Linked DNA regions of Anolis sagrei. The main gene of each other region encodes a partner of the protein of the gene in region 2 in a complex. Links are inferred from orthologs where the notes say so. Each region holds a gene or a part of one and is shown on either strand. Other genes may lie near its edges.

Region 1 (7,678 bases), on a different chromosome or scaffold from region 2:
TGTAAAAAGCTACAAGTGAACATACCTTCCCCAGACGATCTCCTTTGCTGAAGGGCTGATAAGGCATATCTTTGAACTGCTCAGGGATAGCACATGGACCCCATCCTGATGGATTGTCTTGGATCACAGGTATCATGAACCTCGCCATCTTTTATATTTCTAGTAAAAAAAAGAAAAGAAAAGGTAGAAAATGATGTTCTCACAATTATAAAATACAAAGGCATTTTGAAATACTAAGATCAGCTGATAAGGTGTTTTCATGGAGCAGACTAAAATATCTTTTAAAATACCTTCAGACTATGTGCACAATTGTGTATATGAAACATAAATTAATTTCATGTTTAGACTTGGGTCCCATCTTCAAGATATCACATCATGTACATATAAGCAAAGACAGTTATTCCCAAAGGTGGATGAAACAGAAATCTCAAACACTTCTGGTCCCTAATAAGGAATACTCAACTTGTATAAAGGAAATAATAATAATAATATATTTATAACCTGCCCTCTCTACCTAAAGGGATTCTGGGTGGTTTCCAAAGTATAACAAAAATGGCAAACATTCAATGCCAAGAACAAAAATAATACTAAATTTTTATTATTTATTGGTTGTAGGTTAGTGCTTAAAGTATCAGCACAACCTTACACTTTCAAGGAAGGATTTACAACTGACTGCATAAACAACATCCTGAATGTGTATCAGAAATAACAAATCCAATACCAAGCAGCACAAAATTTTACATTCTCAGAGACTCTTTAAAAAACACCACCTCCTTCAATTTCTACAAGTTTATTAAACACAGCTCTTTGATGAGATCCAATCCATGATCCACTGTTCATTTTTGGACACATGAATTGAGAATGTAGAATTAGGTAAAAGTGTTTTTTGAGGAAAAATTTCAAGTCATTCAGCTGCACTGAATACCACAGAGTCAGCACTTAAAGTCCTGTATATCTTTTTTTCCTGCTACCCTATAACAACCAACCTTCTTATTAACAAGCATCACTAAAATCTTCTTAAGATGTCAATTATAGTCCTGGATACAAAATCATTTTAATCACATTCCTGTGGCCACTGTCGCCCTGGAACTGCATGAAACTACGCAGAAAAGCAAGAGGAATGGAGTGCAAGGTTTTTCAGTCAGCAGGCATACAGAAAAGTCCTTCTATATTATAGTATGCTAATAATATATTGTATGTACGTATAATATTGATCATAATACTGTAATACAATATAATACTAATAATACAATATAATAACAATAATTATATATTACATGTAAAATTACTAATAATATTGCAGCATAGAAGTATAGTACAATATAGTAAGATATAATACTAATATTGTGCTATGCTAATAATACAATATATTGTATGTACATATAACTTATAAGTTGCTCTGAGTCCCTTTGTGGTGAGAAGGGCGGAATATAAATGTCGTAGATACATTTATTTATTTATTTACAGTATTTATATTCCGCCCTCCTCACCCCGAAGGGGACTCAGAGCAGATCACAATATACATATACACGGCAAATAATCAATGCCGTTTCTGAAATAATTCTATAATGCAAACTATCCCACATATGATTAAACACCGCATAACTATTATCCTGTTTAATGACAGTGTGAATGAGAAATGTGTTTTATAGATCAATACTATTACATACTAAAAATGCCTAATTTCTCTTTGTCATTTCTAGCATTTTGCAAAATGAGTGTGATGACGTGTTCATTCCTTTTGAGCATGTGATAAAGAGACCTAGGGCTCCATCACACTGCAGTATAGCTGTATAGTACAATATAATACTAATATTGTGCTAGTTAATATAATAAGATTATTAAGAATATATTTGGACATAACTTAATAAAAACCCGGGTGCCCCCGGAGGCACAGTGGGTTAAACCACTGAGTTGCTAAACATGTTGACCGAAAGGTGGCAGGTTCTAATCCGGGGAGTGACATGAGCTTCAACTGTCAGCCCCAGCTTCTGCCAACCTAGCAGTTTGAAAACATGCAAATGTGAGTAGATCAATAGGTACCACTCCGTCGGGAAGGTAATGTTGCTCCATGCGGTCATGCTGGAGGTGTCTACGGACAACGCCGGCTCTTCAGCTTAGAAATGGAGATGAGCACCAACCCCCAGAGTTGGATATGACTGGACTTAATGTCAGGGTAAAACCTTTACTTTTTAAAAAGAATTAAGAATATGCTACTTTCTAAAGAGCCTAAGCTCTTACAAAGAGCAGTACAAAATAAAACATTATACCAACACAATACAAATATGTCTACTTTGTACTATGCTTTTGGCAACACATTCATCGTCACAGGTATTATTCCATGGCGATATCCTAAAAAGTCCTGGGATTTGCAGTTTAGGGAGGCGCATGGATAGTTCTCAGCTCTTGAGACTCACTAAACTATACCTCCAGAATGCCAAGGACTGTTGCCATGGCAGTTAAAAGTGGAATAGTAGTGCTATAATAGTGTAGTGTGACATGACCCTTAATGACCAAGGGAGTATCTAGAGCAGGTATGGGCCAACTTGGGCCATCCAAGTGTTTTGGACTGCAACTCCCACCATTCCTAACAGCCTCAGGCCCCTTCCTTTTGCTTCCTCAGGGGAGGAAGGGGCCTGAGACTGTTAGGAATGGTGGGAGTTGCAGTCCAAAACACTTGGATGGCCCAAGTTGGCCCATACCTGCTGTTGAGCCTGGAACAGGGCTGAAATGGGCCTTCCCCCTCCGCCGAATCCATTCAGCAGCCGCCGCCCTTCCCTCGAGGCCCGGCAAGACTACAATCCAAGACTCGGAGGGAAAAAATACTGGCGCCGGAGGAGAGCGAAGGCTCCCCGGTCCTCCCCCGTGGCCGCCTCGCTCACCTCTAGGACCCCAGTGGGCCCCGATGGCAGCGGATTCGGCCCCGAAAACACCGACGACAGATAAACCACCTTCCACAAGGATTGCGCTTTACGGCTTCCCCGGCTTCCGGCGCGGCGGCCCTGGCTCTCATGACACGTCACTCCAGCGCGACGCCAAAACTGTCGCAAAAGCCGAGTTAGGAAAGGAAAGGCCTGGCAGGGACGTAAAAACGCTGGGTTCTCTCTCTCTGTGTTATTTGCATTCAGTGCCTATCGCCTGCGGATTTATGGCAACAACGCCATGAATTTTATAGCTCTTTTTTTTTTTAAAGGAAAGGGATTCTCAGAGATGGTTTTGCTAGTTTCTTCCCCCCACAGCACCTGCCTTTTGTCAGTGATCCCCTCCCTCCATCCAATTACAAACCAGGGCTGATCCTGCTTAGCTACCAAGATCAGACAACCTGGTGCCTTTTGGGCTATTTTAATTTGTGTTATTGCAACTAAAGGCAGTGTGCTGCTTTACAATCTAGGAAATACAATAAATACTGCAAGTGTGTGTATGGAATAGATCAAAAGGTGCATCTATGCCGTAAAGTTAATGTAGTTTTATACCACTTTAGCTGTCTTATACCTGTTTGGGTATCAGCCAGCACGTCAACGACTTAAATCTAGAAATAGTTTTCTAAGATCTACAGAGACACTAGCTGGAACACCTCAGCAAGCGAGAGTCCAAAAGTAGCAGGCTCAAACCCAGCACCTCAACCAATGGCTGATACTCAATGAGAGACTCCCTACTGGGCACACAGAAGACTGGGAGACTTGGAAGGCGCTAAAGACACTGCGTTCTGGCACCACGAGATGCAGAGCCGACCTTCAGAAATGGGGCTACCAAGTGGAATCCTCGACATGTGAGTGTGGAGAAGAGCAAACCACTGACCACCTGCTGCAATGCAACCTGAGCCCAGCCACATGCACAATGGAGGACCTTCTTGCAGCAACACCGGAAGCACTCCAAGTGGCCAGATACTGGTCAAAGGACATTTAACCAACTACCAAACTCACAAGTTTTGTATTTGTCTGTTTGTTTACTTTGTTCTGTTAGAAATGTAATATAATGGACTGGTTGCTCTGACACGACAAATAAATAAGCTGTCTTAAGATCAAGGCTAAGGATTTGTGGGAGTTGTAGTTGTGCAAGGTCTTTAGCTATCTCTGCCAAATAGTATTGGTGCCTCATCAAACTGCCTTACCAAACTACAAATCCCAGAATTCCATAGCACTGAGTTATGGCAGGAAGCGGTGTCAAACTGCATTAATTCTACAGTGTAAGAGCACCCCTATGTACTGCACCATTACAATCCTATTATTTTACTGTAATAGCAGGTTACTGTGGAATCATGGAGCCCCCGGTGGTGCAGTGGGTTAAACCCCTGTGCCGGCAGGACTGAAGACCGACAGGTCGCAGGTTCGAATCTGGGGAGAGGCGGATGAGCCCCCTCTATCAGCTCCAGCTCCTCACACGGGGACATGAGAGAAGCCTCTCACAAGGATGATAAAAACATCAAATCATCCGGGCGTCCCCTGGGCAACATCCTTGCAGACGGCCAATTCTCTCACACCAGAAGCGACTTGCAGTTTCTCACGTCGCTCCTGACATGACAAAAAAACAAAACAACAACAACAAAAAACCTGTGGAATCCAGGGATTTGTAGTTTACGGAGAAGCATTTAGATTTCTCAACCAGAAAGATCTCTGACCTCATTAGACTACAAACCCCAATATTGCATAGGGTGTTGCCATGGCAGTTAAAGCAGAATATAGTGCTATAATGGTTTAGTGTAGTAAGGACCTAGAATCATTGAGTTGGAAGAGACCTCGTGGGCCATCTAGTTCTAACCCCCTGCCAAAAAGCAGGAAAATCGCATTCAAAGCACCCCCACAGATGGCCATACAGCCTCTGTTTAAACGCCTCCAAAGAAGGAGCCTCCACTATACTCCGGGGCAGAGAGTTCCACTGCTGAACAGCTCTCACAGTCAGGAAGTTCTTCCTCATGTTCAGGTGGAATCTCCTTTCCTGTAGTTTGAAGCCATTGTTCTGCGTCCTAGTCTCCAAGGCAGCAGAAAACAAGCTTGTTCCCTCCTGCATATAATTTTCCTTCATATATTTATACATAGCTATTATGTCTCCTCTCAGCCTGAGTGTAAACCTGAGTGTAAACAAAAAAACAATATAATGAAACACAATGTATTATTGTACAGCCGCATCTAATTGCACTGGAGTGACCATTCGTAGTCAAAGGGACCACAACATTGGTATTCTAAAATTTCTGATTTTACTATAATTTCTGATTTTGATACAGTGGGGCTTCACCAACTACAGCTCAAAAATATCTGGGGAGAAAAATTCCAAAAAGCAAACCTATTTTTGCCTCACTATTTTACTATACCATTGTGTAGTGATTTCAGCTAGGACCGCAGTCAAGGGAGGGATTTGACCAATGTCCCCTTTCCCAAGAGATTACGCAAATGTTACATTTTGATATGTATAACAAACAGATTATACACTTCATATACTAAATTGATACAGTTCTTGTTGTTCATTCGTTCAGTCGTTTTTGACTCTTTGTGACCTCATGGACCAGCCCACGCCAGAGCTCCCTGTCGCCATCACCTCCCCCAGCTCCTTCAGAGTCAAGCCAGTCACTTCAAGGATGCCATCCATCCATCTTACCCTTGGTCAACCCCTTTTCCTTTTTCCTTCCATTTTCCCCAGCATAATTGTCTTCTCTTAGCTTTCCTGATACAGTACACAGTAAGAAAGATACAATTTACATAGAAACCATCAAATAGTTACATTTTATTAAAGGGTTCAGAACTGATAGAGTTTGTAGGGTACAGCTGTCACCCCAATCTCTTAAAAGGTGCAAGTGTAGAAACACGGCCAGCAAAGTAACAAGGTGTTTATTAGTCTCAGAAAGAAAGTTTTATTCTGAAAAACTATCAGAAGAAGTAGAAAAAATACAGAGAACTGGACCTCCAGTGATGCTACCGAAATTCAGGAAGCCTGAGCAGTGACAGTACATTTGCTTTTATAGTTTCACAGTTCTGCGCCACCTTTTTGGGGTGTCACTCAATCATTGTCAAACTCAAATAGGTTAAATGTAAATGGGGCAATTTCACATCATGGTCCATGTCCCCACCATGTAGCCTCCCTTTGTACAGTTTGTATCAGTAGGAACCCTTCATCCTGATCTACAATCTGCAAGGTGAGCGGATAATGAAGGTCCATTGTGCAGTCTTTTATTTTTCTTATTTCCTCTTTGGGTTGGATGGGAAGAAAGAAGTCAATTAAACATCACAATAATTGTACGTACATCAGAAAGGGATAAGGAATAGTGAATGGACCAATGGAACGGCTACAGACTCTATTATGGATTTGATTTTAATAACTTTTAAAATCGTGTTGTTTATTGGTGGGTTTTAATATAAATGTTATTATTTTATCAATGTTTAATTGTTTATTCTTTAAGTCTAAATGTCATTTTATGTTTATTTTTTAATTTGGTTAGGTTAATTTATAGTTATATGTTATCGTCTTGCTATTATCTTTTGGTTTTCACATGTATGTTTGGCATTGAATTTTACCTTTATAATGTTGGAAACCACTTTGAGTTCCCTTAGGGGGAGAAAAGCGGCATATAAATGTAATAAATAAATAATTAAATTTCAGCCTCAGCATGATGTCCCAAATATGTGTCCTATGCAGCAGTCCATGGAGGCATCTGCTATTGAACTATTCTTCCTCCTCCTCATTGTTACAGGAAAACTGTACATACTGTATTTACTCAAATCACCTTTTAAAGCTAAACTACCTTGCCAAAATCAGGATGTGTATTAGATTCGCGTAATAAGATAATCTTGCTGAGCCATAGCAAAAGGGTAAGCTGCTTCAGGAGCAACTGGAGCTTCTATTTGCGGGGTGTCATCTGTAATTTCATTGTCATAGCTCAATGCTATGCAGTCCTGGGATTTTTAGTTTGATGAGGCATCTGCACTCTTTTGGCAGAGAAGGCTCAAGGCCTTGTAAAACTACAGCCCCCATAACCCCATAGCATTGAACCAAGGCAGTGAAAGTGGATTCATTCTGCACCATACATGAACACCAAGGTTTCTTTTCCATTGTTGAAAGCCTTGATGTTTTAACACAATGGTTTTTACGAAGGAATTCTAAGCAGGTAACAACTGTAAAAGGCACATTGCAAAGAGTGCAACTTTTGCTGCTGCACATTGTATTTGCTAGTAAATACTTTTTTGGTTTCACGGTTTTCAAAATTGAGGTGTGCATTAGATTCGATGGCACATTAGACTCAAGTAAATACAGGTATTCAAGGAAAAATATGTATTTTAAAACTACATTAGACAAACCAAAAATTAGGATATCACATCCAACTGTTTCTATCAGAGCCACCTCAGAAATATGCCATTTCAAAGTGGAGAGTGTATGTTGTAAGGAGAAACAAAAACACAGTGAGCACAATAGGAGCCTCACGCAATCGAAAATAACTTCTGGTATATAGTTATCTTTGGATGCAAAGGAAATTCTTCAGGAATTATAAGGGTGTAATGGAAGTGATTTTATTCCTATGCCAAAAGGGGTTATAGTGGCAAGGATTACTACTTCACTTGATTATTTTAGGTGAAAGTACCAGACTCTAGAAAGCATTTAGTGCTGGTTACAGAGATGAGCAGAGGAGAGGAGACCATGGATTCAGTAGTATATCTAACTGAATGTGGTTGAATTTATTGGTAACAGTTAT
Region 2 (6,828 bases):
AAGATAGTTCTCCCAAGCAAAAAGATGTTCTTAACTGGTTCAATTTGTTCTATTTCCAAAACTTTAAATAAAAGTGCCATTTGTTTGGAGGGACATTATTTTGAAGCCTTTAAATTTTTACTTACTTAATTACTTACTTATTTGTCCATTTCTGTTTCGCTTCCCAGCCAACAAGACTCCTTGAGGTGATGGACAAATGAAAACCAATTAAAACAGAGGTCCCCAAACAATGGCCTGCAGGCCAGTTGCAACCCTCCACGGTCATTTGCCCAGAAGGTTGCCAGTTCGAAGCCCCAGATAGGCATGAGCACCCTACTGTCAGCCCAGTTCACTGTTTACCTAAGCAGTTTGAAAACAGCTTAGTGTTGTACATAGAGAAATTAGGTACCGCTAAAAAGTGGGGTAGGTATTACCATTAAAAGAAAAAGACACTATAAGAAGATCAGAAAATGCCTGGCGACCAAAAGCAAGGGAGGAAGGAAGTCCTAATGGTTCTTCGTCATATAAGATGGAGTGACAGCCCCCCCCCTCCCCCTGCTGGATTTGAGTACAACCTCCAAAGCCCCAAAAAGCCATACGTTGACACAACATACCTCCTTTCTGGTTGTCTCTGTCCTGTCTGTCCAAATGATATTGAATGTTTGCTGTGTATGTGTACTGCTATAAAATGGACTATTCTCCTCTCTCAAGCCCCCCCCCCCTTGTGGCCTCTGCCCAGGTAATAGAACAGTGTTGTTGTTCATTCATTCAGTCGACTCCGACTCTTCGTGACCTCATGGACCAGCCCACGCCAGAGCTCCCTGTCGGCCGTCACCACCCCCAGCTCCTTCAAGGTCAGTCCAGTCACTTCAAGGATGCCATCCATCCATCTTGCCCTTGGTCGGCCCCTCTTCCTTTTGCCTTCCACTTTCCCCAGCATAATTGTCTTCTCTAGGCTTTCCTGTCTCCTCATGATGTGACCAAAGTACTTCAACTTTGTCTGTAGTATCCTTCCCTCCAATGAGCAGCCGGGCTTTATTTCCTGGAGGATGGACTGGTTGGATCTTCTCGCAGTCCAAGGCACTCTCAGAACTTTCCTCCAACACCACAGCTCAAAAGCATCGATCTTCCTTCGCTCAGCCTTCCCTAAGGTCCAGCTCTCACATCCGTAGGTTACTACAGGGAATACCATGACTTTGACTAGGCGGATCTTTGTTGCCAGTGTGATGTCTCTACTCTTTACTATTTTAATAGAACAGTACCAAGTTGGAAATTTAGGCCCCTTCCACATAACTAAATACAATCCCACATTTTGTGCTTTGAACCAGGATATATGGCAGTGTATTGTACAAGTGTACAAGAATGATTGACAACTGGCAAATAGAGGGAGAAAACATGGAGGCAGTGACAGACTTTGTATTTCTAGGTGCAAAGATTACTGTAGACGCAGACTGCAGCCAGGAAATCAGAAGACGTTTACTTCTTGGGAGGAGACCAATGACCAATTTTGATAAAATAGTGAAGAGTAGAGACGTCACACTGGCAACCAAGATCCGCATAGTCAAAGCAATGGTATTCCCCGTAGTAACCTATGGATGTGAGAGCTGGACCATAGGGAAGGCTGAGCTAAGGAAGATAGATGCTTTTGAACTGTGGTGCTGGAGGAAAGTTCTGAGAGTGCCTTGGACTGCCAGAAGATCCAACCAGTCCATACTTATAAATAAATAAAGCCCGACTGTTCATTGGAGGGAAGGAGACAAAGTTGAAGTACTTTGGCAACATCATGAGGAGACAGGAAATCTTAGAGAAGACAATGATGCTGGGGAAAATGGAAGGAAAAAGGAAGAGGGGCCGACCAAGTGCAAGATGGATGGATAGCATCCTTGAAGTGACTGGCTTGACTCTGAAGGAGCTGGGGGAGGTGACGGCCGACAGGGCGCTCTGGCGTGGGCTGGTCCTTGAGGTCACTAAGAGTCAGAAGCGTTTGAACGAATGAACAACAATATGACAGTGTGGACTGATAGCTTTGAGCCCTTCCATATATCCCTTTATCCCAGAATATCAAGGCAGAAAATCCCACAATATCTGCTTTGGAATGGGTTATCTGAATCCACACTGCTATATATTCCAGTTCAAAGCAGATGTGGAATTTTATTCAGTTGTGTGGAAGGGGCCAGAAAATCCCACATTATCTGAGTGTGGACTCAAGATAACCCAGTTCAAAGCAGATACTGCGGGATTTTCTACCTTGATATTCTGGGTTACAGGGCTGTGTGGAAGGGCCCTGGGTTATCTGTGTCCAACTGCAAATGGAAGTTCCAATTATTTCCGGTTAAATATACAATTGTAATCAGTTAAAATATCTGGAGCCCTCAGTGGCGCAATGGGTTAAACCCCTGTGCCGGCAGGACTGAAGACCGACAGGTCGCAAGTTCAAATCCAGGGAGAGCGCGGATGAGCTCCCTCTAACAGCTCCAGCTCCTCATGCGGGGACATGAGAGAAGCCTCCCACAAGGATGGTAAAACATCAAAACATCTAGCCATCCCCTGGGCAACGTCCTTGCAGATGGCCAGTTCTCTCACACCAGAAACAATTTGAAGTTTCTCAAGTTGCTCCTAACATGACAAAAAAAAGTTAAAACAGCTGTGTTTTTACTAGAACTTCTATGGGATCTTGTGATTTCTAGTTCACTGAGACACCGAAACAGAGTTAGGGACTTTCCACACAGCCATATAACCCAAAATAGCTGCTTTGGAACTGCCATATCAGTTCATATCAGCCAGCAGCCCCTGGGTCTTAAAGGGAAAGATCAAAGAGTCCCTGGTGGGTGTGCAAAGTGCAGTATAGACTCATGTATAAGCCAGGCATGGGCAAACCTTGGCCCTCCAGGTGTTTTGGACTTCAACTCCCACATTTCCTAACAACCATGCCTGGCATAAGCCAACCTCATACATATGTTGGGGGTCAGGATCATGTATTTTCATTTGACCCATGGAAAAGTCAAGGAAAAGAGGGAGGGAGACGGTTAAGTCACCAATTGATGGAGGAACATACTATATGCCTGACCTCATCTACCTGGGGACAGGTGTTGGAGCAGAAATTATGCACTTTCATATGATAGGTTCTGGATAACAAGATAGGGTCTGGAGAACAAGCCCTATGAGGAGCGGCTTAAAGAGCTGGGCATGCTTAGCCCGAAGAAGAGAAGACTGAGAGGAGACATGATTGCCATGTATAAATATGTGAGGGGAAGTTATAGGAAGGAGGGAGCAAGCTTGTTTTCTGCTTCCCTGGAGGCTAGGACACAATGGAGCAATGGCTTCAAACTACAAGAAAGGAGATTCCATCTGAACATCAGGGATAACTTCCTGACTGTGAGAGCTGTTCAGAAGTGGAACTCTCTGCCCTGGAGTGCGGTAGAAGCTCCTTCTATGGAAGCTTTTAAGCAGAGGCTGGATGGCCATCTGTCGGGGGTGCTTTGAATGCAATTTTCCTTCTTCTTGGCAAAATGGGGTTGGACTGGATGGCCCACGAGGTCTCTTCCAACTCTAGGATTCTATATATTCCAATCCAAAGCAGATCTTGTGGGATTTTATTCAGCTGTGCCGAAGGAGCCAAGAAAACCGAAGCTACGAGCCAAACTAGAACTTCAACATCACCCTATGTTTTTCGAGCTGCGCGTGAAGAAGCCAGAAGTTTGATGTCACTCGGCTTCCGGTCTCTAGGACCAATGGAACGCTTCGGGAAAGCTAAGCCGATTTCCATAGGAGAGCGGTGTCACGTGACGGCCGCGCCGAGCCAATCAGAACCGGCGGAGAGGCGCGCGTGGCCCTTTCGCTGACAAGATGGCGGCGGTGGAGGCTGCTCCGGCTCTTCAGGGCGCTGCTACGCCTTCGCCCGCGGCTCCGGCGGCCGCTTCCCCGACCCCTTTGCCGGCGGCAGTGGCTGCCCCTCCGCCTGCAGCGCCTCCCACCCCAGCCCCCACTCCCCCGGCCCCGCTGGCTGCGCCCTTCCCCGGCGGGCGGGCGGTCCGGCTTCACCCGGTGGTGTTGGCCTCCATCGTGGACAGCTACGAGCGGCGCAACGAGGGCGCCGGGCGGGTCATCGGCACCCTCCTCGGTAAGGAGCGCGTGGGGATGTGTCGGAAGCACTGCCAGCGCCAGTTAGGCCGGGGAAAGGGCTCCAGGCAAGCAATTCTTCCAGGCCCAATTCATGTATACAGGCAGCCCCCGGGTTACAAACATCCGCCTTCCAAAGGACTCCTAGTTAAGAACGGGGGTGAGACAACAGGATGTGAGAGAAATCCACCCCTTGGAAGGGACATTATTATTTATTATTATTTATAGTATTTATAATCCGGGGACTCAGGGCAGAGTACTATGCACATATACATGGCAAACATTTGATGCCATTTAGACATACAACATCTATAGACAGACACAGAGGCAATTTAACATTCCAACTTTTCCGGCTTCATTAAGGCAGGCTTGGTTCTGGTCACAGGGGAAGCTGCTGTTTCACTGTCCACTTGTGACAAAGGGTCCTTTGGAGAACCCCCCCAGTGGTGCAGTGGGTTAAACCCCTGTGCCGGCAGGACTGAAGACTGACAGGTCGCAGGTTCAAATCCGGGGAGAGGCGGACGAGCTCCCTCTATCAACTCCAGCTCCTCATGCGGGGATGTGAGGGAAGTCTCCCACAAGGATGATAAAAACATCAAATCATCCAGGCGTCCCCTGGGCAACGTCCTTGCAGAGGGCCAATTCTCTCAAACCAGAAGTGACTTGCAGTTTCTCAAGTCACTCCTGACACGACAAAAAAAAGGGTCCTTTGATGTAGTACTTCCTCATTCTTCTGCATGTTGCTGGAAGGTTTTATGGCATCGTAAATTAGTTAAATTCGCCTCCCCACATTAAGCGGTACCTAAATTTCCTACTTGACAGATGCAACTGTCTTTTGAGCTGCATAGGCCAACAGCATGCTAACAGTCAGTACCTTACCCGGGCTGGCTTTGAACTCATAATGTTCCACTTGAACATTAAGAACTTCCCGAGTGTGAGAGCCATTCAGCAGTGGAGCTCTCTGCCCCAGAGTGTGGCGGAGGCTCCTTCTTTGGAAGCTTTTAAACAGAGGCTAGATGGCCATCTGTTGGGGGTGCTTTGAATGCAATTTTCCTGCTGCTTGGCAGGGGGTTGGACTGGCTGGCCCAACTCTATGATTCTATGATTCTATCTCAGTAGTGATTTAATGCAGCTGGTTACTAACTAGCTGCGTCACAGCCCGATCCTCATGGGGACATTCACTCTCTCTCACGCCATGAATGCTTTATCATGAATCCTTGTTTTCACAACAAGCCAAATCTTTCAAAATCCAATTATTACAGGGAAAGTAATAACAATAATTCTCTATTTCTAGATCACCCTCTCTCCCCATGGGGACTCAGGGCAGTTTACATACATGTAAAAGGCATACATTCAATGCCATCATAAAAATCACACAACACTAAAAATGCAAAATAAACAGTAAAATACTTATTGAGGTTAAAAGTGAGGTTAAATCTCAATAGGGGCACAGACAACAAAACAAACAACTACAGGGGTGTTCACTTCCTTGTGCTATCCAAACTCATATATGGGTTCCTGGCGATGCCCAGGATATTTGAAATAAAAACAAAACATTTGTTTGGTTTTGAATGTTAGGTAATATCATTGAGGTAATTTGTAACACTATTTATTAGGGAAAGTGTGTTTTTTATTCATGTTCCCATTAGAAAATGCATAAGGATGTGGGTGAACTACAACTCCCAAAATTGTGGGTCAGTCCTTCCCAAACTCTGCCAGTATTCAAAGTTGCCTGTGTTAGGTATGTGCACCAAGTTTAGTCCAGATCTATCGTTGGCTGGGTTCAGTGCTCTTGGGTGCGGGTGAATTACATCTCCCAGAATTCAAGGTTAATAAGCCCCAAACCCCTTCAGTATGGAGGTCACAGTTCCTCTGGATGTGGGTGAACGACAACTCTCTGAAATCAAGGTCAGTTTTCCCCAGTCCCCTCCAGTATCTTCAGTTGGTCATGGACTGGGGTCTCTTCAACGTTTGGTCCAGGTCCATTATTTGTTGGGGTCACAGTGGTTTGTGGAAGTGGATGATAGTATTGCAACTCCCATCACCCACGGTCCATTCTCCCCCAAACATCATCAGCACATAAAATGGGTCACAGGGGGTCTGCCAAGTTTGCGCCAGGTCCCTCATTCATGGGGGTTGCATTTATCTGCAGAAGTGGCAGCTGAAGTGGGTAAAGGTACTGCAAATCCCATCATCCATGGTCCATCCTCCTCTAAACTACACCAGAACATAAAGTGGGTTGCAGGGGTTCTGTGTGCCAAATTTTGTCCAGGTCCGTCATTTGTGGGTGTTGCAGTGGTCTGTGGAAGTCAGAGCTCCGGCCAGAAAAATACATTGCCACCCACATGCAAACAAAGAAGTGGAGTTACATTTTTAAAATGTACCTGTTCCGGCCTACAAACAAATTCAACTTAAGAACAAACCTGCAGAACTCTCCTTGTATCTATATATTTTTATTTGTATACATAATAAAAGTGAAACTGTTTGTACCCATATTTCCTCAAATGTAATGCTCCATCAAATTTAATGTGCACCTCTGTTTTCAAAATCCTGAAACCAAAAAAAATAAATATTTGTTCCCTCATGTAATGTACAGCCACAAAAAAGTGTGCTCTTTGCCATTTGGATAACAAAGGTGTGCATTACTGTTGCTTCCTTATTAGAATTCCTTAATTATAAACAATTGTGTTAGAACACTGAAGCGTCTAGCAATGGAAAGGAAAACCTTGG
Region 3 (7,519 bases), on a different chromosome or scaffold from region 2:
GAGTTCTGGGAGTTGAAGTCTAAAATGCCTGGAGGCTAAAAGTTGGGAACCACTGGCTTACAAGGAAAAGTCCCTTGAGAGCTAGATGTGTTTATGACTGGGGGATATATTCTCAACATTTTCAGGTAACACTCCTGTTACTATTCCATTAAAGCACTGGTTCTTAACCTGTGGGTGACGGACCACCAGTAGGCTGCAAGGACGAAAATCTGGTCCACAAATCTCATTTTTTATTTATTTTACTTCTACTCCTTTCAGACTGCCTGCCACTCCTTTCCTGTTGCTGACCATGGCATGTGTTCTGTATCAGAAAGCAGAGCTGATGTGGTCTACCCAATGCAATTTTCTGAATCAGCACCACAAACCAAATCTAAAGTTGACCAAAAACTGATTCCTAACCCTTTTGGTAATAATGCTGGAGAGTGGTCCCTGGTCAAAAAAAAGTTGGGAACCACTGCATTAAACAGATGTGGTCCAATAATACCAGATGCGGAAATTGCTCCCCATACATTAATGAAATCATGTATTTCCATGTTACCCAGACCTTTTCAACACATGTTCAGTGTCTCTCACTTTCAAAGTGACTCCATGTCTAATGGAGATTCAGTAAAGATGCAGTCTACATAATTAATACCCATCTCCAAGTTTTAGTATCTAACTATATAATGTTAGAACAAGTGAGCAAATATAGACCTCCAGGTAAGTTGCACAAAGATATCTTTGGCCTCAAAGGCCCATCAGACCTACCCAGCAAAGCCACTAATGATGGATAATGGGAATAGCTGACCAAAAACATTTGGAGAGCCATAGTTGCACATCCAATATTAAGTAAGGGAGACAATCAGTGTGGTGCAGTGGTTTCAGTGCTAGACTTGAAGTGCAACTACACTGTAGAGCAGTGATCCTCAACCTGTGGGTCCCCAGGTGTTTTGGCCTACAATTCTCAGAAATTTAGGATTTCTGGGTGTTGAAGGCTAAAACATCTGGGGACCTCAAGTTGAGAACCACTGCGAGATAGAAATAAAGGTTATTATTATGATTTTACAATTATTATTACTAGATTTTAGTATATTGTATGAGCCCCCAGTGGCGCAGTGGGTTAAACCCCTGTGCCGGCAGGACTGAAGACCGACAGGTCGCAGGTTCGAATCCGGGGAGAGGCGGATGAGCTCCCTCTATCAGCTCCAGCTCCTCATGCGGGGACATGAGAGAAGCCTCCCACAAGGATAAAAACATCAAATCATACAGGCGTCCCCTGGGCAACGTCCTTGCAGACGGCCAATTCTCTCACACCAGAAGCGACTTGCAGTTTCTCAAGTCGCTCCTGATACAACAAAAAAATTATATTGTATTATTATTAATAATATTATTATTATACTGTATTACATGAATACGTGAAGACACATCATACTAGGTAGCAGGGTAAACTCATCAAGAAATATTAATTAAATCATTTCGTTTTAAAGTTGGATTTTAAGTAAAAGATGCTTGCTTGCTTGCATGCTGGTCGCTTCTGTGGCGAGAGAATCAGCCGTCTACGAAGACGTTGCCCAGGGGACGCCCGGATATCTTGCAATCCTGCGAGGAGGCTTCTCTCATGTCCCACAACCAGATACAGTGAAGACATCTGCCCTTATGCTATGCTACTCTGCTGCTGAGTATGCATGCCCAGTGTGGAACACATCTCACCATACTAAAACAGTGGATGTGGCTCTTAATGAGACATGCCGGATTATCTCAGGGTGTCTGCGCTCTACACCACTGGAGAAATTACACTGCTTAGCCGGTATTGCACCACCTGACATCTGCCGGGAAGTAGCAGCCAATAGTGAAAGGACCAAGGCAGAGACATCTCCAGCTCATCCCCTGTTTGGGTATCAGCCAGCACGCCAATGACTTAAATCTAGGCATAGTTTTCTAAGATCTACAGAGACACTCGCTGGAACACCTCAGCAAGCGAGAGTCCAAAAGTGGCAGGCTCAAACCCAGCACCTCAACCAATGGCTGATACCAAATGAGAGACTCCCTCCTGGGCACACAGAAGACTGGGTGACTTGGAAGGCGCTGAACAGACTGCGCTCTGGCACCACGAGATGCAGAGCCAACCTCAAGAAATGGGGCTACAAAGTGGAATCCACGACATGCGAGTGTGGAGAAGAGCAAACCACTGACTACTTGCTGCAATGCAACCTGAGCCCTGCCACATGCACAATGGAGGACCTACTTGCGGCAACACCAGAAGCACTCCAAGTGGCCAGATACTGGTCAAAGGACATTTAACCAACTACGAAACTCACAAGTTGTGTATTTTTCTGTTTATTTGCTTTGTTCGGTTAGAAATGTAACATAATGGACTGGTTGCTCTGACACGACAAAAAAAGTAAAAGATACACAAAGCTATGCCAAGCTTCCCAGAGCAGGCAGCCTCAAACTGGGGCCTTCCAACGCCCAGAAGCCCTTGCCAGCTTCTTCAATGGCCAGGAATTTTAGGAGTTGGAGGTGCAAACAGCTGGAAGGCCGCTGTTTGAGGAGGCCAGGCCTTAGGTTTCTGTCACGTGTCTGCCCAACTCTTGACACTCAGCTGGAGAAGTCCAGAGCTGACCAAATTGAGCTTTTGGTCTATAACCAGCTTTAAGAGTTTGAAAGACATGAAGTTGACTTTGTTTGGGAAAAAATGGCTCATGAGAAGCGGTTGAGGAAAGAATTCGGGACTCTCCGAATCACAAACCCGCCACTGCACGTCTGGACGCGCAAACACGTGTACACGGACCGCCCGCCCGCCGCTTTCCCCTTTCCCCCAAGGCCTCCCTCCCTCCTCCAGGCCTGCTTCCCGCCTTCCCCATTTGCTCACTCGTAGTCGCCCGTCGGCATGGCCGCCCCTGGAAGAAGAGCAAGCAGCAGGAAGGCGAGCTGAAGAGGAAGACTAGGCCTCACGAGAGGCAGGAAGCCGGCCTAAGCGTGACGCAGAGCCTCACGGGAGACGTAGTTTGCGTCACTGACGTGGTGGCCAAACCAAAATGCATGGCGGAGGCCTTTCGGCTCGCCGCGGTGCCTGCTGGGAAGACGCGATAGGGGTCGCTCCACTCCAACTTTTGGGCCTCCAATTCCCAGAAGCCCTCGCCAGCTTGTTCAATGCCCAGGAATGCTGGAAGTTGGAGGCCCAAAAGCTGCAAGGCCGCCTGTATTAGTGAGGTGAATTGCCGCCCCCAGTGGACACTTCAAGAATTGCATCCCTTGATAGAATTCTAGAGTTGGAAGAGACTTCATGGGCCATCCAGTCCAACCCCCTGCCAAGAAGCGGGAATGTTGCATTCAAAGCACCCCTCACAGATGGCCACCCAGCTTCTGTTTAAAAGCCTTCAAAAGGAGCCTCCACCACACTCCGGGGCAGAGAGTTCCACTGCTGAACGGCTCACAGTCAGGAATTATAAGAGTTGGAAGACTTCATGGGCCATCCAGTCCAACCCCCTGCCAAGAAGCGGGAATGTTGCATTCAAAGCACCCCTCACAGATGGCCACCCAGCCTCTGTTTAAAAGCCTCCAAAGAAGGAGCCTCCACCACACTCCGGGGCAGAGAGTTCCACTGCTGAATGGCTCTCACAATCAGGAAGTTCTTCTTCATGTTCAGATGGAATCTCCTTTCTTGTAGTTTGAAACCATTGTTCCGCGTCCTACTGTCAAACCCAGCTGGGGGCCCTTCCACACAGCCCTATATTCCAGAATATCAAGGCAGAAAATCCCACAATATCTGCTTTGAACTGTGTTATCTGAGTCCACGCTCAGAATCTAGTTGCTTTTTTGCATGTCCACCAAAGGTGAGAGAAGGATCCCACTTGTGAGTGCATTTCCAGCATTTGTCTGATGGATTCTTTTAACATTTCGCAAGTTTACTTGGTGTTATGTACCAACGGCACATCATCGTGTACCAATTTTCACGTAGGTCCTGAGAGTCTGTATATTTTATTTTAGAGTTCCATATGTTTTCCCTGAGGAATCTGTACAAGGACCAAGTAGCAACAGTCAGAACTGACCACGGAACAACAGACTGGTTCAAGATTGGGAAAGGCGTACGGCAAGGCTGCATCCTCTCACCCAACCTTTTTAACTTGTATGCAGAACACATCATGCGATGTGCGGGGCTGGATGAATGCAAAGCCGGGGTGAAAATTGCTGGAAGAAACATTAACAACCTCAGATATGCAGATGACACCACTCTGATGGCCGAAAGCGAGGAGGAGCTGAGGAGCCTTCTAATCAAGGTGAAAGAAGAAAGCGCAAAAGCCGGGTTGCAGCTAAACGTCAAAAAAACCAAGATTATGGCAACAAGAATGATTGACAACTGGAAAATAGAGGGAGAAACCGTGGAGGCTGTGACAGACTTTGTATTTCTAGGTGCAAAGATTACTGCAGATGCAGACTGTGGCCAGGAAATCAGAAGACGCTTCCTTCTTGGGAGGAGAGCAATGTCCAGTCTCGATAAAATAGTAAAGAGTAGAGAAATCAGACTGGCAACAAAGATCCGCCTAGTCAAAGCCATGGTATTCCCTGTAGTCACCTACGGATGTGAGAGCTGGACCTTAGGGAAGGCTGAGCGAAGGAAGATCGATGCTTTTGAGCTGTGGTGTTGGAGGAAAGTTCTGAGAGTGCCTTGGACTGCGAGAAGATCCAACCAGTCCATCCTCCAGGAAATAAAGCCTGACTGCTCACTGGAGGGAAAGATACTAGAGACAAAGTTGAAGTACTTTGGCCACATCATGAGGAGACAGGAAAGCCTAGAGAAGACAATTATGCTGGGGAAAGTGGAAGGCAAAAGGAAGAGGGGCCGACCAAGGGCAAGATGGATGGATGGCATCCTTGAAGTGACTGGACTGACCTTGAGGGAGCTGGGGGTGGTAACGGCCGACAGGGAGCTCTGGCGTGGGCTGGTCCATGAGGTCACGAAGAGTCGGAGACGACTGAACGAATGAACAACAACATGTTTTCCCATTCTGTTATTTGGATGTTGTGGCCGATGTTTTGTGCCCACCTCACCATGCACTCTTTTATTTGTTCTCTCTCGGTCGACCAAGTTAAGAGTATTTTGCGGATTTTGGAGATTAGTTTATTGTTCGAAGACAAAACCTTGTCCCATATTTTTTCCCCTTCTTCGAATCCACCTTTCTTGTCTTTGTTATTATTATTTGTCGTGTCAGGAGCGACTTGAGAAACTGCAAGTCGCTTCTGGTGTGAGAGAATTGGCCGTCTGCAAGGACATTGCCCAGAGGGACACCTGGATGATTTTTTGATTTTATCATCCTTGTGGGAGGCTTCTCTCATGGAGCTGATAGAGGGAGCTCATCTGCCTCTCCCCAGATTTGAACCTGCGACCAATCGGTCTTCAGTTCTGCCAGCACAGGGGTTTAAACCACTGCGCCACTGGGGGTTCCCGGTGTTTGTTAAATGCCTCCTTTAATTGAATATGAGATTTGTTACTGAACCCTGTGTCTCTTAAGAGGCCTGTGCAGCCTTCTCCTAGTGTAGCTCCTGCTCCCTCCCTCACTCCGTTCCCTTTCCCTCTCGCCTTCCTTGCCAGACCAATGCAAAAGGGGCTTGCTTGCTTCTTCGCTTCTTCTGTCCCTCCGTCCGTCCATCCCTCTCCCCCCCCCCCCGAGAAGGCTCTAAAGCAGTGCTTCTCAACCTGGGGGTCGGGACCCCTGAGGGGTCGCCAAAGACCATAAGAAAACACAGTATTATCTGATGGTCATGGGGATTCCATGTGGGAAGTTTGAGCCAATTCTATCGTTGGTGGAGTTCAGAATATTCCTTGATTGTAATGAACTATAAATTCCAGCAACTACAACTCCCAAATGTCAAGATCTATTTTCCCCAGACTCCACCAGTGTTCACATTTGGGCATATTGAGTAATCATGCGAAGTTTGGACCAGATCCATCATGGCATGAGTCCACAGTGTCTCTGGATATAGGTGAACTACAACTCCCAAACTCAAGGTCAATGCCCATCAAACCCTTCCAGTGTTTTCTGTTGGTCATGGGAGTCAAGTTTGGTTCAAATCCATCGCTGGTGGAGTTTAGAATGCTCTTTGATTATAAGTAAACTATAAATCCCAGCAACTACAACTCCCAAATTATAAAATCAATCCTCCCCCAACCCCACTAGCATTCACATTTGGGTGCATTGGGTATTTGTGCCCAGTGAATGAAAATGCACCCTGCATATCAGATACTTACATTATGATATATAACATTAGTAAAATGACTGTTATGAAGTAGCAACGAAAACAATATTATGGTTGGGGGTCACCACAACATGAGGGACTGTCTTAAGGGGTCACGGCATTAGGAAGGTTGAGAACCACTGCTCTAAAGGCTGCTTTTCAGAGCAGCTTTGCCAGGTTGTTCTGGCTTCTCAGCTTGGCTCCTGAAGCAGGGACAGCCAGCTGCTTTGCTACTGTGGCTGTTTGTTTCCCCTTCTTGTACAGGAGGGGGCAGGCCTAGGTTTTGCACATGCGTGGTAAGGTATTTTTTATTTTTAAAAGAATTTTAAAGCTATTTTCACTGTTTGGGGATTTTTTTTAATTGTGGTCATACCTTGCGGTATGAGACGTTTGGAGGCCAAAATTGATGTCAGTTGGCCCCATAGTTTGTCTGTGTTTAGCCTACTCAGGACGCACAGAAGCTTTTTTATATATTAAGATTATCATGATTCTTTATGGGTGGCAGATGGCAATTGATAGATGGCCTATGTTCTGTATCTGAAAAACTAGAGCTGATAGGGGAAAACTGGTATCATTTTTGGAATCAGCAGGTCAAATATACCCAGAAACAGAGCTAACATTTGAGGCACCAAAATGTGTGTTGGTCAGTGGAATTGAAGTGGTACTTAGGTCCCAGCACCAACATGAACACAAACCAGAGCCCAGAGATGGGACAGACATCTGAAGGAAGTCAGAAAGGGACCTTGAGATAATTTATAGGAGAGATTTATTTGAAGAAATATTACAACATATAAAAACTACATAAAGTATTAATTTCCACTTGTACAAAGTGGTTGATTAAATTTCAATACAATGTATCATAAAAACATCCTGAACCCCCCCTCCCCCCGACACACATACACACGCACACGCATGAAGTGGCAGGCACTGCACAATTTGATCACTTGGGAATGGTTATCTGGAACATCAAAACAGCGTCAGAATGTCAGCCGAGGAGACAAACACCGCTCACAAATACAGACTCTGAGAAAGAGCAAGACAGAGAGAGAGAACACACAAAAATCCTCCCCCTCCCGTCCCCAAAAACAAAGAGAGACCTCCAACAATTTTCAGCATGTCCAGAAGTATAAGAAAATAACCTGGAAATTAAAAAAGCAGAAGAAAATTCAAAATTATCAGTGCATGTTTGGGTGTTCAGGTGCGGTAACCAAGGTGCAGCAGATGACGAGCAATTTACAAATTAATCGGAAGTGTCCATTTTTTCCCGTTTGATGGTATCTGCGGAAAAATAAGATACAGCAGA
Region 4 (7,243 bases), on a different chromosome or scaffold from region 2:
AATGTATAAAAATGACCACAAAACTTGGCATGATGCTAAATGACCTTTGACAAGAAGCTGGCCACTGGTGTCGCTGTGAGAGGGTGCATATGGTAGGACTCAGACTGCATTGTAGCAAGTGGTTGGGAGGCCCTGGTGATGTCAGCTCCAGCTTCCGCTTTTTTTTTTTTCATGAGAAGGAACATGGGTTTTTGTTTTTTTTTTGCCGTGTCAGGAGCAACTTGAGAAACTGCAAGTCGTTTCTGGTGTGAAAGAATTGGTTGTCTGCAAGGACGTTGCCCAGGGGACGCCAGGATGTTTTGATGTTTTACCATCCTTGTGGGAGGCTTCTCCCATGTCACGAGACAGGGCCTTCTCTGTGGCGGCCCCCCGATTTTGGAATGCCCTTCCAAAAGATCTTCGCCAGGCCCCTACTTTAGCAGCTTTCAGAAAGAACCTAAAAACTTGGCTGTTCCGATGTGCCTTCTCAGATTAGGAATCCCCACCCAAGTCCTAGAAGCACTTTAGCACAATTAACATTAATGCACACCGTACTATTTTATTCCCATGCTCCTCCTACCACTCTAGCACTTTTAACCCTGTACCCCATTGCGCTGGCCGGCCCAGTTTTAAAGTGTCATGATGTATTGTTATTGTCGTTATTGCTTGCTTAACTTATTGATTTGCTATGTTTTCTACTGTTGTGTTTGTTTTACTGTATTGTGTTTTGAGGCTTCGGCCTGTGTAAGCCGCATTGAGTCCTCCGGGAGATGCTAGCGGGGTACAAATAAAGTTAATAAATAAATAAATAATAAATAAATGTCCCCCCACGGGGAGCTGAAGCTGACAGAGTGAGCTCATCCACGTTGACTGAAAGGTAGGCAGTTCGAATATGGGGAGTGGGGTGAGCTCCCGTCTGTCGGCTCTAGCTTCCCATGCGGAGACATGAGAGATGCCTCCCACAAGGATGGTAAAACATCCGGCTGTCCCCTGGGCAATGTTCTTGCAGGCGGCCAAATTCTCTCTCACACACCAGAAGCGACTTACAGTTCCTCAAGTCGTTCCTGACATGAGAAATTTTTTTAACTGGACGAATTACCACCAAATTTGGCCACAAGACACCTACTAACCCAAGGAGTAACCATCACTCAAAAATTAATTTTGTCATTTGGGAGTAGTAGTTGCTGGGATTTACAGTTCACCTACAATCAAAAAGATTTCTGAATTCCACCAATAATGGAACTGAACTAAACTTGGCACACAGGACTCCCATGACCAACAGAAAACACTGGAAGGGATTGATGGGCATTGACCTTGAGTTTGGGAGTTGTAGTTCACCTACATCCAGAGACCACTGTGGACCCAAAAAATGATGGACCTGGACCAAACTTGGCATGAACACTCCATATGGCCAAATATGAACACAGATGGGGTTTCGGGGGAAATACACCTCGACATTTGGGAGTTGTAGTTACTGGGATTTATAGTTCACCTACAATCAAAGAGCATTCTGAACCCCACCAATGACAGAATTGGGGCAAACTTCCCACACAGAACCCCCATGACCAACAGAAAATACTTAGGGCCATTCAGTCCAACTCCCTTCACTAGGGCAAAACGTAATCAAAGTCCTCCTGACAAAGAGCCATCCAGCCATAGATTTAGATAGATAGATATGATTCACACAAACACAGATATAGTATCATAGGTTTGAAAGGGACCCCCAAAGAAGGACAATTATAAGTTGCATGTTCCAGAGTAGGCAAACCAGACAATCTACCTGCGTGACCGCATATCCATCTACGAACCCACACGTTCACTTCGGTCATCTGGAGAGGCCCTGCTCGTGATCCCACCGGCGTCGCAAGCGCGCTTGGTGGGGACGCGGGACAGGGCCTTTTCCGTGGTGGCCCCCTGACTCTGGAACACCCACCCCAAAGACCTTAGACAGGCCCCTTCATTGGCTGTCTTCAGAAAGAACTTGAAGACCTGGCTTTTCCGATGCGCCTTCCCAGATTAGGAAATCTCCAATACCAAGTCCCAAGAGCACTTTATCAGAACCAATGATTGCTGCACATCGCACATCGCACTTGCCCTGGAAGCCCTATATACACCTCCTGTCACATCAGCACTTTTAATCTTTGTACCCATTCTCTGGACCGGCCCAGTTTTATCGTGTTTTAGTGTATTGTGCCTGCTGATTTGGTGTTTTTTTTTTTTTTGCTTTATTCTGTTTTTAATTTGTTTTATTTGCTTAGATTGTATTGTTGTGTTGTGTGTTCTGTAAGCCGCATCGAATCCTTCGGGAGATGCTAGCGGGGTACAAATAAAGTTTAATAATAATAATTAAATAATAATAATCTCCATGTCAACACTGACAAAGAAACAGCAAGAAATATTGTTTACCCAGAAACATAAAGAAATTACATATATTAGAAACCAACACTTTCTCATTACTGTATTTTCCAGATCACCAGACTGGGCCACAGCAACGCCTGGCAAGGGGACGGCTAGTAATTTATATAATAAGTGGTTTGCTCTTTACTTCAGCGGCTGAGGAAGGGATAGGAATGGGCCTGAGGGTGTGAGGAAGTATGGGAGTTGGAGTCCAAAACAGCTGGAGGGAGGGCCCAAGTTGGCCCAGGTCTGCTACAGAGCCCTCCTTGTTCGTAACTTGGTGAAAAAAGGAGGGAAGAGAAGCAGAGCGAGGCCTTTCCCACCTTGACATCCTCGTCCTCGTCCTCCCCGGCCCACCGGTCTCCCGCCGCCGCCACGGAGGGCGTGGGCAGCCGGGCCTGGTGCCGCCCGTCCTCCTCCGCCTCCGCCGCCGTCGTCTCGAAGGAGTCTGCGCCGGAGAAGGGAGAGGGTGTCAGCAGGGGGCGAAAAAGAGGCCCTTCCTTCCCACCTCCAGGCCTGCCTTCCCGGCCACACTCACCCCAGGAATCCGCCACCGCCGCCATCTTGGTTCTGCCTCAGGCCCGTCAGGCACTCGCGGCCAAGGCCGGAAGAGGAAGAGCCAGACGCCCGCGCGGGGGATGCCGGGAGGAAAAGGAATACGCCGAGAGAGGGCGGGGCCTTAACAAACCACGCCCCTTCAAACAAAGCCACGCCCCCTCCAGCCTACCCAGAGCAACAACGAGATTGGGAGCTTTGAGATGGTTGAACAGAAGCTTTCCGAAGCTCTGGGTGCTCTTACTGCCTATTACAGGGAAAACCAACTGATCCCCAACCCATCCAAAACACAGACATCTGCCTTTCATCTCAAGAACAGACAAGCATCCTGAGCTCTGAGGATCACCTGGAAAGGAATCCCACTGGACCATTGCAGCGCACCCAGATACCTGGGAGTCACTCTGGACCGTGCGCTGACCTACAAGAAGCACTACCTGCACTTCAAGCAAAAAGTGGGCACTAGAAACAATATACGAAAGCTGACTGGCACAACCTAGGGATCACAACCAGACACAGTGAAGACATCTCTCCTTGCGCTATGCTACTCTGCTGCTGAGTATGCATGCCCAGTGTGGGACACATCTCACCACACTAAAACAGTGGATGTGGCTCTTAATGAGACATGCCGCATTATCACGGGGTGTCTGCGCCCCACACCACTGGAGAAATTACACTGCTTAGCCGGTATCACACTACCTGACATCCGCTGGGGAGTAGCAGCCAATAGTGAAAGGACCAAGGCAGAGACGTCTCCAGCTCATCCACTGTTTGGGTATCAACCAGCACGTCAATGACTTAAATCAAGAAATAGTTTTCTAAGATCTACAGAGACACTCGCTGGAACACCTCAGCAAGCCAGAGTCCAAAAGTGGCAGGCTCAAACCCAGAACCTCAACCAGTGGCTGATACCAAATGAGAGACTCCCTCCTGAGAACACAGAAGACTGGGCAACTTGGAAGGCACTGAACAGACTGCGCTCTGGCACCACAAGATGCAGAGCCAACCACAAGAAATGGGCCCACAAAGTGGAGTCCACGACATGCGAGTGTGGAGAAGAGCAAACCACTGACCACCTGCTGCAATACACCCTAAGCCCTGCCACATGTACAATGGAGGACCTTCTTGCGGCAACACCAGAAGCACTCCAAGTGGCCAGATACTGGTCAAAGGACATTTAATCAACTACCAAACTCGCAAATTTTGTATTTTGTCTGTTTGTTTGTTTTGTTCTGTTAGAAATGTAATACAATTGTCTGGTTGCCCCTGACACGATAAATAAAAAAAATAACATTGACAATGAAATGCAACACTGCCTGAGCTCTGCGAGTGCAGCATTTTTGCAAATGAAGCAGAGAGTGTTTGAGGACCGGGACATCCGTAGGGATACCAAGATGCTTGTTTATAAAGCTATTGTCCTCCCAACCCAGCTATATGCCTGCGAGACGTGGATTGTCTACAGGCGTCACATGCAGCTCCTGGAACGATTCCATCAGCGCTGCCTCCGGAAAATCCTGCAAATCTCTTGGGAAGACAAGTGGACAATGTCAGCGTGCTAGAAGAAGCAAAGGCCACTAGTATTGCCGAAGGCTTTCATGGCCGGAATCACTGGGTTGTTGTAGGTTTTTATTGGGCTATATGGACATGTTCTAGAAGCATTCTCTCCTGACGTTTCACCTGCATCTGTGGCAAGCATCCTTACTACCTTTGAGGATGCTTGCCATAGATGCAGGCAAAATATCAGGAGAGAAGGCCTCTAGAACATGGCCATATAGCTCAAAAAACCTACAACAACCCAAAGACCACCAGCATTGAAGCCATGGTCCTCCGCCATCCACTCTGCTGGACCCGTCAAGTTGTTTGGATGCCCGACCACCGTCTCCCAAAGCTGTTTCTCTTCTCCGAACTCAAGAATGTTGGTGGACAGGAAAAGAGATGTATAAATGGGCTCTAATCTAACCTTACAAACTCTGGCATAGACACTGAAAACCGGGAAGCCCTGGCCCTTGAGCGCTCCAGCTGGAGGTCAGCTGTGACCAGCAGTGCTGTAGAATTTGAAGAGGCATGAATGGAGGGCAAAAGAGAGAAATGTGCCAAGAGGAAGGCGCGTCAAGCAAACCCCAACTGGGATCGCCTTCCACCTGGAAACCAATGCCCTCGCTGTGGGAGACGATGCAGATCAAGAATAGGGCTCCATAGTCACCCTGGAGGATTATCCTGCTCGGATGACGAGGGATCGCCTAAGTAAGTAAGTAAGTAAGTTAGCCTCAGCAGTAGACTGAAAGCAAAAACCGAGGACACAGCAGTATCTGTTATAGAACTCCAATATGCCGATGATAATATGGTCTGTGCTCACTGAGAAGAAGACCATACAAGTTGGAAATGACAATCTTCTTCAGGCCTTCTCTAGTAAAGGGTTGCTGTGAGTTTTCCGGGCTGTCTGGCAATGTTCCAGAATCATTTTTTCCTGACGTTTCGTCTACATCTATATCAGGCATCTTCAAAGGTGGTGAAGTCTGTTGGAAACTAGACAAGTGAGGTTTATCTATCTGCATAATGTCCAGTGTGGGAGAAAGAACTATCAATGGCACTAATTATTATTGTTAATTTTTATTTAATATTATTTAGTATGATTATTTTATTACTATTTTGACTATTATTATAGTCAAAATAAAGAGCAAACCACAAACAGGCGGGCCCCAAGTTACAAAGTAAAGAGCAAACCACAAACCACTTATTATATATTTTTTTATTATTATTTACTTCACCTGTATACCGTTTTTCTCACCCCAAGAGGAGACTTAAACATATTTATGGAAAAATATTATTATTATTTAGTATGATTCACTATGTAACATGATTTGTATTCCTGGGTTATCAATGCCATTATTATTATTTATTTATTTGGTATTGTTATTATTATTTAATATGATTTACTATGTAACATAAACACATTTTTTCCCTGGGTTGTCAAAGTCATTACAAAGTCACTGTGGGAGAAGATGCGGGTCAAAAACAGGGCTCCAAAGCCACCTACAAATCCACAAGGAAACCCATAATGGAAAACCATCTTACTCGTCCAATGAGGGATCGCCTAAGTAAGTAAGTAAGCAAAGTCATTAATAATTATTACTAATTATTTATTTAGTATTTATTATTATTTAATATGATTAATTTATTATGATTATTATTGTGGCTATTATTATTTTGTATGATTCAATATGTAACACAATTTTTGTTCCTGAGTTATCAATATCATTAATTAATATTATTAATTATTTAGTATTTATTATTTTTATGATTATTATTAATTAGTGTGATTATTTTATTATTGTGACTATTGTTATTATTTGGCATGATTCACTAGGTGCAACACGATTTTTGTTCCTGGGTTATCAATGTTATTGATTTATTATTATTATATTTTTATTTTTATTTTACTGACACAAAGCCACAGTATGTCACAGTAAACAAGATCTATATGCTGGATTTTGTATCAAAAAATCACAAGTCGAACACTTTCCAAGCGTCTAGGACTGTGTGATGTATTTCCGAATTAGGCGCGCAGATCCAAGTAAGGTGGTGTTTTGCAGTTGACAGATGATTTTGTCAATGTTTATTGTTTCCAAAAGCTGGCTGAGATCTTTTTGCACGGCACCCAGTGTGCCGATCACCACTGGGACCCCCTGGACTGGTTTATGCCAGAGCTTTTGCAATATTTATTATTATTATTATTATTATTAAATATTATTAATATTTGATATGATTCACTATGTAACACAAACATGGTTTTTATTCCTGGGTTATCAATGTATTAATTTATTATTGCTATTTATTATTATTTAGTATGATTATGATTTACTATGAATATTATTATTTAGTATGGTTCACTGTGTAACGTGATTTTTGTTCCTGGATTATGTCATCTCCTAATTGGTTCTATCATTAAAAGCATGAGAAAAGTTTATTAAACTGTGAAAAATTTGTTTTTGTGGGAAGGCACCCTGCAGCAGCACATTTGGGTCTAATTTCCCCATAAATATCTCAACCAATTCAGCCTAGTTTGTGGCAGCCACAAAAACAAAGTTCTGGTGTAGAACAACTACTTTCAAAGTAAAGACTGCACAATTAATCAGGGAGTAATGCATTCAAACCAGAAACAAAAAAAAAATATTAAAATTTTGTCACATAGTGTTATTAGTGGGCTTAGCATACACTTAGCAAACATGCCAGCCTATGACTGAAACAACCAACAGTGCATGCTTTGCAATCACAAGATAGGAGCATTGAGCAGATGGAAAGTGAAGGCAGAGAT

The links.
Region 1: EIF3F (region 2) and EIF3D share a complex: the UniProt entries of both Homo sapiens proteins name them as parts of the eukaryotic translation initiation factor 3 (eIF-3) complex. The link is inferred for Anolis sagrei from reciprocal best matches to the Homo sapiens genes EIF3F and EIF3D.
Region 3: EIF3F (region 2) and EIF3G share a complex: the UniProt entries of both Homo sapiens proteins name them as parts of the eukaryotic translation initiation factor 3 (eIF-3) complex. The link is inferred for Anolis sagrei from reciprocal best matches to the Homo sapiens genes EIF3F and EIF3G.
Region 4: EIF3F (region 2) and EIF3J share a complex: the UniProt entries of both Homo sapiens proteins name them as parts of the eukaryotic translation initiation factor 3 (eIF-3) complex. The link is inferred for Anolis sagrei from reciprocal best matches to the Homo sapiens genes EIF3F and EIF3J.

The regions. Positions count from the first base shown.
Region 1 is NC_090025.1:166,603,571-166,611,248, reverse strand, and holds the start of EIF3D (eukaryotic translation initiation factor 3 subunit D), read right to left. Parts: upstream 3,008-7,678; 5' UTR 2,883-3,007; intron 160-2,882; 5' UTR 149-159; coding exon 26-148; intron 1-25. UniProt on the Homo sapiens protein: mRNA cap-binding component of the eukaryotic translation initiation factor 3 (eIF-3) complex, a complex required for several steps in the initiation of protein synthesis of a specialized repertoire of mRNAs.
Region 2 is NC_090023.1:147,514,801-147,521,628, forward strand, and holds the start of EIF3F (eukaryotic translation initiation factor 3 subunit F), read left to right. Parts: upstream 1-3,806; 5' UTR 3,807-3,825; coding exon 3,826-4,099; intron 4,100-6,828. UniProt on the Homo sapiens protein: Component of the eukaryotic translation initiation factor 3 (eIF-3) complex, which is required for several steps in the initiation of protein synthesis.
Region 3 is NC_090022.1:172,118,364-172,125,882, reverse strand, and holds the start of EIF3G (eukaryotic translation initiation factor 3 subunit G), read right to left. Parts: upstream 3,015-7,519; 5' UTR 2,872-3,014; coding exon 2,852-2,871; intron 1-2,851. Other genes in the region: DNMT1 (DNA (cytosine-5)-methyltransferase 1), read right to left, coding at 7,457-7,494. UniProt on the Homo sapiens protein: RNA-binding component of the eukaryotic translation initiation factor 3 (eIF-3) complex, which is required for several steps in the initiation of protein synthesis.
Region 4 is NC_090029.1:23,332,164-23,339,406, reverse strand, and holds the start of EIF3J (eukaryotic translation initiation factor 3 subunit J), read right to left. Parts: upstream 3,014-7,243; 5' UTR 2,940-3,013; coding exon 2,915-2,939; intron 2,825-2,914; coding exon 2,700-2,824; intron 1-2,699. UniProt on the Homo sapiens protein: Component of the eukaryotic translation initiation factor 3 (eIF-3) complex, which is required for several steps in the initiation of protein synthesis.